Macaca fascicularis: one gene and its partners. The protein of the gene in region 3 interacts with the protein of the main gene of each other region in a pairwise test. Links are inferred from orthologs where the notes say so. Each region holds a gene or a part of one and is shown on either strand. Other genes may lie near its edges.

What was found.
Region 1: the proteins of EMD (region 3) and ABT1 interact in binary tests that used the Homo sapiens proteins (3 or more experiments, as listed by UniProt). The two-hybrid records come from large-scale screens. The link is inferred for Macaca fascicularis from reciprocal best matches to the Homo sapiens genes EMD and ABT1.
Region 2: the proteins of EMD (region 3) and TRAF3IP3 interact in binary tests that used the Homo sapiens proteins (3 or more experiments, as listed by UniProt). The two-hybrid records come from large-scale screens. The link is inferred for Macaca fascicularis from reciprocal best matches to the Homo sapiens genes EMD and TRAF3IP3.

Annotation. Positions count from the first base shown.
Region 1 is NC_088378.1:146,290,979-146,295,102, forward strand, and holds ABT1 (activator of basal transcription 1), read right to left. Parts: upstream 2,675-4,124; 5' UTR 2,668-2,674; coding exon 2,427-2,667; intron 1,744-2,426; coding exon 1,547-1,743; intron 1,394-1,546; coding exon 1,013-1,393; 3' UTR 501-1,012; downstream 1-500.
Region 2 is NC_088375.1:67,578,998-67,583,219, reverse strand, and holds the start of TRAF3IP3 (TRAF3-interacting JNK-activating modulator), read right to left. Parts: upstream 2,801-4,222; 5' UTR 2,553-2,800; intron 2,237-2,552; exon of another isoform or gene 2,162-2,236; 5' UTR 2,127-2,161; coding exon 2,041-2,126; intron 1-2,040. UniProt on the Homo sapiens protein: Adapter protein that plays essential roles in both innate and adaptive immunity. Plays a crucial role in the regulation of thymocyte development.
Region 3 is NC_088395.1:160,349,325-160,355,164, forward strand, and holds EMD (emerin), read right to left. Parts: upstream 3,528-5,840; 5' UTR 3,376-3,527; coding exon 3,294-3,375; intron 3,171-3,293; coding exon 3,066-3,170; intron 2,907-3,065; coding exon 2,829-2,906; intron 2,615-2,828; coding exon 2,481-2,614; intron 2,027-2,480; coding exon 1,977-2,026; intron 1,893-1,976; coding exon 1,568-1,892; 3' UTR 1,158-1,567; downstream 1-1,157. UniProt on the Homo sapiens protein: Stabilizes and promotes the formation of a nuclear actin cortical network. Stimulates actin polymerization in vitro by binding and stabilizing the pointed end of growing filaments. Inhibits beta-catenin activity by preventing its accumulation in the nucleus.

The DNA of each region.
Region 1 (4,124 bases), on a different chromosome or scaffold from region 3:
TTCCAACTCAACACTCCACCCAGGAAGCATTGTTTGCAATTGTGGGAGCACTCCAGACTCTTTCAAACTTCTTATTATTCTTACAGTTATTTTGTAGGAATGACCTGGAAAACTTGGTGAGGACTGACTCACCACTGAAGACTGTGATCATCAATCACGTCCCCCTTGAGAGGGGCTCTATGACATGCTGTGGCCCCCATTCCACCCGGTATATGCATCTACCACGATGCCTATCTTATACTAGTGGCCTGTAAAACTCTTAATACTAAGATGTGTTATTACCTATTGTCATTGTTTCCTCAAACAATGGCTTAGAAAATGCTGACTTAAGATAACTAATTGATAAACTGGGCTAAGATAATAGACAGAAATTAAATAAAAAAAAAAATCCAGGTTAAACAGTAAGGTGGGTGGCGGGGGGGCTCTAAGATCAGGAGATGAAGGTGAACACAAGGAGATGAAAGCTGGAACTTGTCCAATGACCCTCCCCAACAAAAATAAAAAGGCATAAAAAATATTTTTATTTTCTATAAATACATTAGGAAATGTATTTCTTCCCAACTCAGTCCACGCCATTAACTGTCAATTTTTTCTACATAAAAAAGATGCTAATACCACCCTCACCTGTGACTGCTAAACAGAGAAAGATTGCCGGGATTATTGCAGGCATTATCCCCCTAGTTGGAAATAAAGGCCCATTCCTGGGGGCAGAACGTGGGATTTTTAGGGGACCCTATAGACGTAGGCAGCCAAGAGTCAAACAAAACAAGCATATGCAATAGTCATAATCATGCTAGTATGACAGTATGAACTAGGTGACTCAGCCAGGCATATACAGGAGTTCGGAGTGAGGATAGTGGAAGCCCTCAAAACTTGCACGTTTGGGCCCTTAGCAGAGACACTTGGTCTGAGAAACACAGTAAAATGTTTGCCTGGATAGTCACGATCATTCTAGTATGAGGTAGACAGGAAGCAGAGCAGGGCTAGGAGCTGGAAGGGGCCACCCTGGCCCTCAGGAGTCCCTGACAAGGGAAGGTCCCTCCATGCTCTCTGAGGGTGGTGGGGCTCCAAAGATCCTGGCCAGGAGCCCTTTGTTGGAGCGGGCCTTGTCCTGGGCAGTCGCCAGGCGAGCCCGTTCACGACCCCCTGGCCGTGCTGCTTTCCGGGCCCTCAGTTCCTGCTCAGTAGGACGTTGCGCAAATGTCCAGGAGCCATCTGGGCGAGCAGGGTCCCCATCGGCCGCAAGAAAGCGTTGTCCCCGTTCCACACTTTGAAGATAGAAGTCGGTCTCACGCTTGGCCTGAGCAACCTCCGCTCTCAGGCGCTGCCTGCGCACCTGGCGCTCAAAGGCAAGGTGCTCACTGAGGTGGGACCAGGTGAAACGGTGCAAGTACTGTGGGCAGAAAATAAGAAAAGATCAGGATAGTGCAGATTAGGGAGAAAGATGAGACAGGGGACAAGACCAATGAGAAGCCATGGGTATACCTGGGCCAGAGCTGGGGAGAAGGGAGGGTGAGAGGTGTGGCAGAAAGATCTATCTCCTCACCTTGAGGTTCCAAAGATCATAACGGAAGGGGCTGCGCCTGCGGGCACCCATAGGCGTGTTGTGTAGACTGGCCGCCACGCGCTTGGCTATGCGCTTGTCACGGAACTCCACCCATCCCTCGGTGTAGTCCTTGCTGTAGGACCGCTTTTTTCCTCCCGCAGCTGCTGCTGCTTTCTTCTTGCGTCTCACGAACCGATCTGAGCGCCAAAGACAAAAAGACCCGTCAGGGACTATGCAGCACTCACTCAAAACCACTTCCCACTGCCCGCATCGTTCTTCACATCTGCCAGCGGGAGTTCCACCTGAGAGTTTTTGCCCAGGAGGGAGGGAACTGTAAATTGCACCCTTTCCTCTAGCTAACTCAATTATTTCCTTAATTGTCCACTCCTTAATCTGGCCGGCTTTGAACGCTATTTAACACCCGCGCAAGTCCCCAACCTCAATGTAAAATTGAGGGTGGAAAGAGGAAGGGCGGTTGATCAGTTTCTTGACCTAGGCCGCGATGCTAAAGGGGTATGTTCAGTTTTGTAGAAAAGCTAACGAGGCTTTTACTCTGTTGTACTCATGTAACAAACCAGTAAACAGATCCGGAAAGAGAGGTGAGCAGGGCCGGGATAAGAACACGAATAGTAACAATCCGAGAACTAAAGAACCACCAGACGCACTGCGCTACCCACTCTCCCCATATCCCCTCCGCCCACCCACCCCAGCATCCTCACAGACTGATTCACCAGCCAGGAGCCGAGCACCGCACTCCCCACCCCCAAAATCCAACAACTCGTGCCTCAGTCTTGCGCAGCGAAGCAACAGGACATCCATGCTTGCACCCCGCCAGCGAGCGACAACCTCCTCCTTTCACCGTCAGGGTCTGCATACTTACCCTCAGCCTGAAAGAAGACGCGTCCGACCTCGCCATAGGCGCTGAGAAGGTTACGGACGTGCAGAGGACGGAAGCGCGGCGGGATATGGCCCAGGTACACAATACCTGGCACTACCCGCTTATTGCGGCCACAGGCCGCTGCTTCGGATTCCTCCTGCTCCTCCTCCGCGTCTAGTGTCTGTTCTGTCCCTTTCAGCGGCTCGTGCTCCGTTGCGGCCTTCTCCGATTCCTCTGCCTCCATGTTGACTGACATGAGCGGCACGACGGCCGTAAAGTGCCTTGCCTACTGACGCAAAACGTGTGCGACGGCCTGAGACGAGGGGGCGGGGCCAAGGCGGTGATGACAAATGAAAGGATATGATTGGCGATGCAGTCGGGTCAAGGGGAAGGCCGAGGGGAGAGGGCGGAAGTGGGGTGTCAGGTGGAAAGCCAGATTTAGAGCGTGGAAGCGGGATAGGAAGCTTGTTTTAGGTTCACAGATTCCCTGTTACATCTCCAACTCAGGACAGGCAGAACCAGAAAAGGCAGATCCCCAGATACAACCTACCCTATAGAACGCCGCTAAAGGCGGGTTGATGCCGGGTTTTTAGGGAATTTTGTAGAGCAGTTTTAGGGAAGTTTCTGTGTGTTCTAGCGATCAAAATAGCATTTTATTCGAGGGCCCTGGTTGCGATTCCAGCTGAGGAATGACTCACCTTTTAAAGTTTATACATTTCATTTAAAAGATTTGAGTTTTGAAGTTTTAATTATTTCTGGAAATTTACCTTGGAATTTTGAATATTTTAAAATTTAATTTTGAAAACGGTTAATTTTGGAAATTAGATTTAATTTTTGAAAATTTAAATTGCGAACTTTCAGTTTAATATTTTACATTTGATTTTGTGAATGTCTGAAAATTTAAATGTGTGACAATTATTTGAATAATTTGTTTGGCATCTATTACACATGTGTATTGATACATTATCCATATGCATACTTACGTTGCAAATACTTGTCAGAGGCGCACACGCCTCCAATTCTGGCGACCCCCCCGGCGGTGCGCTTAGTTCTGCCCTCCCTGGGTCTGTCCTCACAGATTCCCCATCAGATCACAAACCAATTTTCCTTCTATGACCTACGTAACCACAGAACGGACAAGGCCCCGGCGGTCCTGCTCCTACCAGGCTTAGGCGAACCATCCCTAAGCCAAGCCCATAGCCGTTTTCCCCGCGCGGGCTCGAGTCCTCAATCTCTTACCGTCGCCCGAGGGCGCGACCAGCAGGGGGCGCCGTCCCCACCCTTAAGGCGTTTCAGTTCTTGCGATCCGCGCCAGCGACAAGCTGACTGCAAAGGATATTGCTGGGAACCGAGTACAAATAATCCGATTAGCTTTCTGGAAGCAGCCCGGGGCAAGTTTGAGGACCATCAGTATAAATCCGCCCTTGCTGCGGCCTGACAAAATTTCCCATCTCGCTCCAAGAGCGCAGAGTAGCCCAGAGAATGGAAGCAGGGAGTAAATGTGTCCACTATTAAAATCAGGGATGACAGTTTTTGCCAGTCCCCAAGTATATTTCTAAAGTAACAGGGCCCACACTCTTTCATGGAGTGTCTAAAAGTCTAATAATAGATTCTTCGAATTCAAATACTCCTGTTTCATTAACTTTATTGAAGAGAACTTTCTGTCAGGTGTACACTGCTCCTTTTTTGAAGAGGGGAGGG
Region 2 (4,222 bases), on a different chromosome or scaffold from region 3:
GTTTCTACTTACTCCTTCTTGGATAAGGGTGGGAGTGGGCCTAGGGGATGGTCCCTTGACTTTCTCCCTGCCACTTTCTTTATTTAGAGACTTAAAAAAAAGGGTCTGGGCCAGGCGCGGTGGCTCAAGCCTGTAATCCCAGCACTTTGGGAGGCCGAGACGGGCGGATCACGAGGTCAGGAGATCGAGACCATCCTGGCTAACACGGTGAAACCCCATGTCTACTAAAAAATACAGAAAAAAAACTAGCCGGGCGAAGTGGCGGGTGCCTGTAGTCCCAGCTAGTCGGGAGGCTGAGGCAGGAGAATGGCGTGAACCCGAGAGGAGGAGCTTGCAGTGAGCTGAGATCCGGCCACTGCACTCCAGCCTGGGTGACAGAGCAAGACTCCGTCTCAAAAAAAAAAAAAAAAAAAAAAGGGTCTGACAGACCCATGTCTGTTGTTATAAATGACTGAATGGAAGAGACCCAGGATTATGTGCATGTGAACTCCATCTCTGGAACCTACACTCACAGCATCCCTGAGTCACAGCCCCTGGCTATTCTGCCATGGATTGCAGTGGAGAACCCTGGCTCTTGGAGTCACACTGTGTGGACTCATATCCTGGCTCTGTCACCTACTACCTGTGTGTGGTTTTAGGTAAGCTATTAAACATCTCTAAGCCCCAGTCTCTTCATTTATAAAATGGGGCTAGATTGGCTGGGCGCGGTGGCTCACGCCTGCAATCCCAGCACTCTGCGAGGCTGAGGCGGGTGGATCATGAGGTCAGGAGATCGAGACCATCCTGGCTAACACAGTGAAACCCGGTCTATACTAAAAAATACAAAAAATTAGCCAAGCATAGTGGCGGCCTCCTGTAGTCCCAGCTACTCGGGAGGCTGAGGCAGGAGAATGGCGTGAACCCGGGAGGAGGAGCTTGCAGTGAGCCGAGATCGTGCCATTGCACTGCAGCACTCCGGCCTGGGCGACAAGCAAGACTCCGTCTCAAAAATAAAATAAAATAAAATAAAATAAATAAAATAAAATAGGGCTAGAACCTGCCTTGTAGGTTATAAGGATTAAATGACATTTTTGCCATTAAAAGTAATGGCAAAAACCAAATATTATCCTTGTTATGCTGATGTTGGATATTGAGGACTTGGTGCTATAAGACAAAGGCTCCAAGCTAAATGAGCACTCTTAAGACCAAGAATGCCTTCTCTCATCCTCTCAACCCTCTCTCTTTGACAGAGTATATTGTTTATCAGATTGAGGGGATGCTGGACCAAGGTTGGAGTCACATTTACTTCTCTGTTTCTTCTGACCCCGGGTTTGGGCTATAAGGAGAAAGGGCTTCTCTGTGATCTGGACATAATCACCATCCCAATTACACCAAGCAGAAAGGTAAGGAAGAGATGGGGTCTGCCTGTGTCACACATAAGTTGTGAGGTTCCCTCCCTGTTTGGCTCCAGCTTCCCGCCAGGTTTTGTAGTGGAGGCAGAACATTGAGAATCCTCCTACCTTCTTGCCATGAAGAGGAAAGGGCTATGGGGGAGAACACAGGGCCTGAGATGAGGTCTCTCTGGGCTTTCCACCTAGGCCACCCACCTTCATCCACTGAAACACACAGCTGCTCTGCTCACTGCTTCCTCGGGGCAGACATTGAGTCTTCTTACCCAAGAAAGGAGCTGCAGTGGAAATGGCTTCTTAGAGACGGGAGTGTTCCCAGATGCCTTGGCTACCACAACTGCTAGGATGTGGTGCAGCATGCTGCATAGAACCCTACCCCGGTTTCTGGGATATCTGGACCCTACTGACTTGCTTAAAAACAGGAAGGTATGCAGGATGGCTGACAGGGATAGGCTGCTAAAGAAAAGGGAACTGGTCCCTGTAGAGTTCAAAGAAAGATCACTGGGTCACTGCCCAGGCTTTCTGGCATCTCTGACATTCCCACCTGGCAGCATGACTGGGCTCACTTAGAGCTTGGAGGAAGGGTTACTGGCTTGGAAGGCTCAGTCTGGTCTCTCAGGCTGCAGAGAGAGAACAGGGCATGGCTCCTCACCTGACTGTGGCTTGACATGCCTTTCCGAGTCTCACTTTTACTTCCTGGCCGTGTGTGCAACAGACGCAATGAATGGCTTCCTGCATGGGTGGCCTTCCTGGCCCAGAGCTCTCAGTGGGAACTGAGGGGAGAGGGGCCTACGCTTGAGCTGCTGGGAAGGCAGTCTTGTGTTCAGGGATCCCCGCTTTGAAGAAAACTATAAAAGGTCATTTAATTCATGCCCATATCACTGGGTAGCCTGAACTAAGTCATTTGACTTACTCCTAATCTAATGTAATCTAATCTAATCTACTGGAACAGAGGAGTGGTGCAAGCTGTACCCTGTGCCAAGGCTAGCGCCACGGGAAACCAACACAGGATACTTTCTTGGTTACCCAAACCCCCAACACCCTTAAACTATGCCACCTGCTCTTTCTTCACCCAGGAGAGCTGGGATGGTAGAGCATCTTCTGCCCCACCCCAAAGTTGGAGTTCCCAAACCAGGACACAAAAGCATCCTCCTTCTCAGTTACCTCCGAGTCCCAGGCTCCGACTCAAGCCACTCAGGAAAGCATTCCAGCTCCTGGGCAGATCTTGGCTCTGGTCTCAGATGGAGCAAGACAGCAGATGGGTAAAGCACACGCTTTCAATCCATAGGTCTGGGCCCCATTAACACGTCCCTTCTTGGTACTGTCTTTCTTTTTGCACAGCAGCCTTGCTGAAACAGGAAACAGACAAAGCCACAAGGTTTGCAAACCCCGGTTCCTCTCTCTTACTCTCTGGCATCATCTGAGTGAGCCTCTGAACTCTGAGGCCTCCAGGGCTGGGCTCAGGAGCTCCTCCCATCAGTAGGCACCCTGGCCACCCTTTCTCTTGCTACTGGATTGGTCGAAGCTCTTGGACAGTTTCAAGTCAAGATTCCTTTCCACGATTAGACAAGGATAGTCCTCTGGGTCAGATTCAGACCTTTGTGGTTTCTATGAAGGGAAAGAAAATTCCTTTTTGATGGTAAGACCTAGATGAGATGTTCTCAGTGTAGGCTTTCATGTGTATCAGGTAGTTCTTTGTGCAAAGATTTTCCTTTTTCTTTAGCCACCTCTTCCCAATCCTGGTGTTGTAAAGAGTTTCTGCTTTTCTGAAGTAGCTGGTGTCTTTCTCAGATTCTGGAATGAGGCCAATTCTGCATTTGCTCCTTTCTAGAGCAATGAGGAGGGGGTATAAAGGTGGGTAGCTGGGGGATGAAGGAAGGAATAGAAGGCAGAATCTTCTACACATTTTTTATCCAGTCAACCAGACTAGGAAATTTAGGGAAAAACTAAAGGGAACGAATTTGTGTGCATTAAGATGAAGCCATCACAAATGATGCAGTCAGGAAATTCCCAAGAAGTTCAAGCTAAAATAGTGGAGGGGAAACTGGATTGGGACAAGTTAACCCAGCAGCTTTGTAACCTTGTAAAATTCACCTTGTCTGGATGCTACTCACTGTGGTGGTTGGATGATGTACGTGGCTCTTTGGAATTCTAAGTTTTGACACACGTGAGGCAGGTAATGAGACTTAAACATAGCTGTGATCACGTTTATTAACATGTGGAGAGTTTGTCACCATTTTCTCTGCTACTGCTTCTTTCTCTGTTCTTTGAGGAGAAAAAGGACGAGGAATCAGCAGGGAAAAGCAGAGGATGGATTCTCAAGCAGTAGGGCTGAAGATAAATGGCATTTACTCAGGATGAGAGACAACAGCTCAAGGCCCTGTGTCTGGAGCTTGACACATACAGATGGGAATGAGTAGAGGACAGAGGGTTTGGGGAGTCCAAGATGTCAGAATAAGAGAATTTTGGCTGGGCACAGTGGCTCACGCCTGTAATCCCAGCACTTTGGGAGGCCCAGGTGGGTGGATCACTTGAGGTCAGGAGTTCAAGACTAGCCTGGCCAACATGGTGAAACCCCATCGCTACCAAAAATATAAAAAATTAGCCAGGTGTGGTGGCATGTGCCTGTAAACCCAGCTACTCGGGAGGCTGACGCACGAGAATCGCTTGAACCCAGGAGGCAGAGGTTGCAATGAGCCAAGAACGTGCCACTACACTCCAGCCTGGGCGACAGAGTGAGACAGAGTTTTGCTCTTGTGGCTTACGCTGTAGTGCAATTGCATGAACTCGGCTCACTGCAACCTCCGCCTCCCAGGTTCAAGCAATTCTCCTGC
Region 3 (5,840 bases):
ATAAACTTTGAGCACAGTGGCTGACACCTGTAATCCCAGCACTTTGGGGGGCCAAGATGGGTGGATCACCTGAGATCAGGAGTTCGAGACCAGCCTGACCAATATGGTGAAACCCCATCTCTACTAAAAATACAAAAATTAGCCAGGTATGGTGGCGTGTGACTGTAGTCCCAGCTACTAGGGAGGCTGAGACAGAATTGCTTGAACCCAGGAGGCAGAGGTTGCAGTGAGCCAAGATGGCGTCATTGCACTCCAGCCTGGGTGACAGAGTGACTCCGTCTCAAAAAAAAAAAATTATATATATGTATATATAGAAGATTATGAAATACATACCCAGGGCAGAAAACCTGGGAGCTAAGTGAGAATATAGGCAGGTGAATTCCATCACCCAGGGATGATGGGGCATTTCAGCCTTTGGAGCTTTTCTCCCATGTTAAACAAGCAGCAGTTCCAGGAGCTGAGAATGATGTGCCAGAGATGCTTCATTTTTTTTCCGTCCCCATGCCCTTGGACACTGGGGTGGACTTCAGCTTTTTCCAGTTAAAACACCCACAGACTGCTGGTAGCATGCATGCAGCTTTGCCTGAATTTTTTTTTTTTTTTTTTTTGAGACGGAGTCTTGCTCTGTCACCCAGGCTGGAGTGCAGTGGTGCGATCTCAGCTCACTGCAAGCTCCGCCTCCCGGGTTCCCGCCATTCTCCTGCCTCAGCCTCCCGAGTAGCTGGGACTACAGGCGCCCACCACCTCGCCTGGCTACTTTTTTGTATTTTTAGTAGAGACGGGGTTTCACTGTGTTAGCCAGTATGGTCTCAATCTCCTGACCTCGTGATCCGCCCGCCTCGGCCTCCCAAAGTGCTGGGATTACAGGCTTGAGCCACTGCGCCCGGCTGCTTTGCCTGAATTTCTAAGTGGGTTCTCTGTATACGCCTTGTTGTACCACAATTATATGTATAAGCAGTTACAGGTGCTTTGGGGAATGAGTTAGGGAATAAAACTCCCAAACAAAACACAAACATCTCTGGGTAGCATTTGATTCCTATCCCCAGACCAAAGCAAAAATGCGGACCCAACAAAGCCAGATTGCAATCCTCGAGTCCCAAGACGCAGAGGCCCTTGCCATGGGAGCCCAACCCTCTCCTCCAGGAAGAGCCAACGCATTAAAAATAAATGGGGTTTTTATTGTGTGTCCACGAAAACAAAGGGTGGCCTTTGGTTAATCCCCCCCAACAAGATGACAAAAAGGAGGCATGCATGACAACAAGAACCATGTTCTCCTCTGACTGAGCGAGGCCTTGCCCTCCTGGACCCTAAGGGTTACAGGCAAGCAGGGCCAGGAGGCTGCCGAGGAAAGCACACTCAGGCCCCCATGGAGGGCCTGAATCTGCTGCCTCCCTGGTGGGACAAGGCAGGGGGAGCAAGCACTACTCTGGGCTAGGCCCAGCGCCCCCCAAGCAAGAACACATAAAAGCCCCTGCCCCTGCCCCTGCCCCCACACCCACCCCCACCCCCACTGCTAAGGCAGTCAGCCAGGACTTCCCCAGAAGACCTGGCTCTGAAGCCCAGACCCTCATGGCTCCCTCTGGAAAGGGTTGCCTTCCTCAGCCTGCATGAAGTAGTAAATGAAAAAGAGGACGATCACAAAGACCAGGAAAAGCAGCAGCTGGCCCCAGAGTGGGACCTGGTGATCCTGGCCCAGCCCAGCCCCAGGAGCATGGTTTTCAGGCCGGATGGCACGGCGGGTGAGCCATGAAGAGGAAGATGATGAGGACATAGAAGAGGTGGAGGAGGAAGTAGGATAATAGGACAGGTCCAGGGAGCTCCTGGAGGCTGAAACAGGGCGGTAGTGCGTGATGCTCTGGTAGGCACTGTCCCGGCCGTACATGGGGCGTTCCCTGAGGCAAAAGAGGGGAGCAGGTGGGCCAGGAGCCTGGGTCCAGAACCAGCCCCTGTCCCTGGCCTTCCCCATACATACATACCTATCCTTGCACTCCTCTTCAGAAGACGACAAAAGGTCGTCATCACGTACCTGTAGAAGAGAGTCAAGGTGAGGGAACTGGCTGGCAGGGCCACAATGGCCCTGCCACGTCCCTCTCAAATTTCCCCAGCAGGTCCCCTCTGACCTTTGGTTAAAGGCCAGGGACCCACACCCTCCTGAATGACTCTGGGTGTTCGGCCTTTTATCCATGGGGCCTTGCTACTTGTGCTCATGCCCCAGCATCCCCCTTTGCCCCCAGGACTCTCAGGAAGAGCTGGAGCCTAGATCCCAGACCAGGGTGCAGGACGCATCCTATGTGCTCTAGTCACATAGTTCTGAGGGCTCCCCAAAGTAGGACCCTGACCAAACAGGTGTCTGCTGAGCCAAAGTCTCCCCAGAGGCCCAAGGGCCACCATTTGTACCCAGTGGCCCCCTGGATTTATCCAAACACAGCCGCGATCCCCTAGGTTGTACCCAAGTACAGTACGCCTGCCAGCCAGCTCACCTGGTGGTGGAAAGTGTCAGCATCTGGGAGTGAAGTCACAGACTGGCGGAAGCCCCTGGACGGGCCCGCAGACTCGGGCTCCCCATAAGTCCTGGTAGTGAAGTAGCTCTCTTCATAGTAGTCGTCATTGTAGCCTTGGGAAGGGGGGCAGCGGTAGCAGAGGGGGCATCGGTGTGCCCCGCCTGGCCCGATGGCCCTAATCTGAATCCCATTTCGGGACCTGTGACAGTTTCTCCCTCCTAAGGCTGCTGGAGTGGTTGGGACTGAGGTCTCAGGTCCTCCCTGTGAGCGGGGTCCCTGACGCAGTCGGGTGAAGGTGCCAGCGTGCCCACCCAACCCCTGCCTTACCCTTGCTCTGGTAGAGTAAGGCGTCCTCTTTCTTGGGAAGATCATACATATCTGAATCCCCTGACGTCGAATTCAACTCTGGATTGAAAGGAGGAGACAGAACTGTTTGCCCCCCCACCCCCACCCCAAGGCTTCCCTCCCCTTTCCCCAGTGCCGCTCTCGACCGGCACCCCTGCCACACCCTCGCTACCTCATCCTCCCCGCGTCCCAGGCCGTCCCCACAGGCGAGGCTCTCACCAGAGAAGCGATAAGAGGAGGCAGCGGACGAGCCGGGGGGCGAGAGCCGCCGCCTCTGGGTCTCATACTCGAAGATCTTCTGCTCGTAAAGCCTACGAGTTGATCCTGGCCGGACACGGGGCGGTCAGGGCCGCAGTCCGGGGAAGGGGCGCGGGGAGGGCAGCGGGGAGGTCGCGGGGCGGAGCACGAGGAGGGGGCCCGGAAGGGGTCCCGCCCGCCGCCGCGTACCTACTACAGGCCCGTGCGGGATGTTGTACCGGCGCAGCAAGGCGGTCAGCTCGGTATTTGAAAGATCTGCGTAGTCGTCCATGGCGGGTGCGGGCTCGGGCGGAGGCCTGGCGGCGGCCCGGGCCTACCAAAACCGGCCGAGCAACGGCTGCCTAGGAGCACGGCGGGGGCGGCACGAGTGCATCGGGAGCGGCCGCACTCGCGTCACAGCCGAATCGCTGTCGCGTCACGGCCGCTGGCTCCGCAGGCTGCGCGCGCTGCGCTGGGCGGGACCAAACGGCGGGAGTAGCCGGCACAGACCGGCCGGGCCTTGAGAGCTGGGAGGCTGGGGCCGCGAGCCCAAACGTCATCAACTCACGGATTGGCTAGCGGCAGAGAGGGCGGGCCCCCGGGAGTCAGGGTGGTGGGAACCGGTCTCGCGGTGGGAGCGGGCGGGGCCGCAAGCCCATATGTCACAAACACGGGAATTGGCTAGTGATGGAGGGGGCGGGGCCCGCGCAGGCGCGGAGCAAAAGGTCTTGCGTTGGGAGCGAGCGGAGCGGAGAGCCCTTACGTCACAAACATGGGGATTGGCTAGCGATGGAGGAGGCGGGGCCCGCGCGGGCGCGGGGCAGAAGGTCTCGCGGTGGGAGCAAGCCGCGCCGCGAGGGGCGCCACACGTCACTAACGCACGGATTGGCTAGCGGCGTAGGCGGCGGGGCCCGCGCGGGAGTCAGGGCAATGCAAACTGGTATCGCAGTGGGAGTAGGCGGGGCTGCGGGCCCAAAAGTCACAAACGCACAGATTGGCTAGCGGCAGGGGGCGGGGCCCGCGCGGGAGTGAGGGCGACACGGCTGGGAGCCAAGACGTCACCCTGTGGCGCGCTTGAGCCAGCCGGGTGAGAGGGATGGGGCCTGCGCGCTAGGGACCCGGGACGTGCGAGCGGGCGAAGTCGGCGCTTGGGGTGGCTCTGGTCCCTAAGTCACTTGGACTTCGCCCGGTCCCTGCACATCCCTGCTCCCCGCCGTCGCCCCCCTTTCCTGGGCCCCAGAGCCTAGGGTTTCCCGGCCGCATCCCGGTCGGCCGCCCCGGCAGCGGACCCTAAGAGAGCGCGGGCCCGGGGCCAGGCACTGCCGGGGGCGCTTTGTGTGCGCATTGCTCGGGAAGCGGCTGCGGGGCAAGGCCCGCGCCTATGGGATCTCCGCAGACCCCCTGCCACGGGCCCTTCTTCCCAGTCTGCAGGGCTCTCGCCCGCGCACATGTGCCTGCTGCTTCCCACCGCCTACCTCTCTGCTTCCCTTCCTCCTCCCTCACTCTACCCGGGAGGAAATGGGGCACTGGGCCAGGAGGCCGCTGGCACTCCAGAAGCAAGCAGCCTTCGAAGGGGCCCGGGCATGCCGACGGGCACGCCAGTGGGCGCGGGCAGAGGGCGCCGTGCGATGCGTACAGAGACAACGTGTGCCCGCCTAATCCTTCATGCCGTTCATTCACCCGGGGCACTGGGGGGAGCTGCAGCGGGGCGTCCTCTCCTGTCGGAATAGTCCCTGAGCGCAGCGTGTCTGGGCAGGGGGCAGACGTCGGTGATGAGCTATGGAAGGCTGCCAAGGCCTGCTCAGGAGCCTGAACTGTGGCTAGGATTCCCAGGGCCTTGATCAGATATGGGCTGTCCCATGGAGAAGGGAAAGGAGGTGACATTCATATCCTTTTTTTTTTTTTTTTTTTTTGAGACAGAGTCTCGCTGTCACTCAGGCTGGAGTGCAGTGGTGTGATCTTGGCTCTCTGTAGCTTCCACCTCCCGGGTTCAAGTGATTCTCCTGTCTCAGCCTCCAGAGTAGCTGGGAGTACAGTCACATGCCACCACGCTTGGCTACTTTTTACATTTTTAGTAGAAACGGGATTTCGCCATGTTGGCCAGCCTGGTCTCAAACTCCTGACCTCAAGTGATCAGCCCGGCTCGGCCTCCCAGCAAAGTGCTGGGATTACAGGCATGAGCCACCGCACCTGACTGTGACATTCACATTCTAAACAAAGCCAGCTGAGGGTGTATGGAATCAACTAGTGTGCCCCTCACTGGGTAGGCCCCAAACTGGGAGCATGAAGAGGTGACATACCATCTGTGGTCTCACAGATGAAGGCTGGTGACAAGGGAAGAAGAGGGGAGGGCTCTGGTTGTGTCCAGAATGACTGAGCCAGCTGGTGAGGGTCACAGACCAGTCATCCATGGAGGTTTGCCCATGGGGTGGGAAGAGGTAGACACCTAGGGGAGTAATGAGGAGATGGGTCTTTGTTTTGACTACACACAAAGATCCTAACAAAGAGGAGTCACTGTTGGTAAGGCCCTGCTCTGTGCCCAGCAATGTGGGAGGAAGTATGGGTCCATGAAGACAGTGCCTGGCAGTGTGCAGCAGGAGAGCCTTGGGTAGGGCAGGGGTTTGCACCTCATCTTTCAGAGCTGAGGGGACAGGTGGCAGTTTGGACTCTGGGCTGCTCAGAGGCTGCCTCGTGGATTTTTTAGGTTTGACAAAATCAGATTCCCCAGCACCTCTGCAAGCCTTCTGCAATCCTGGC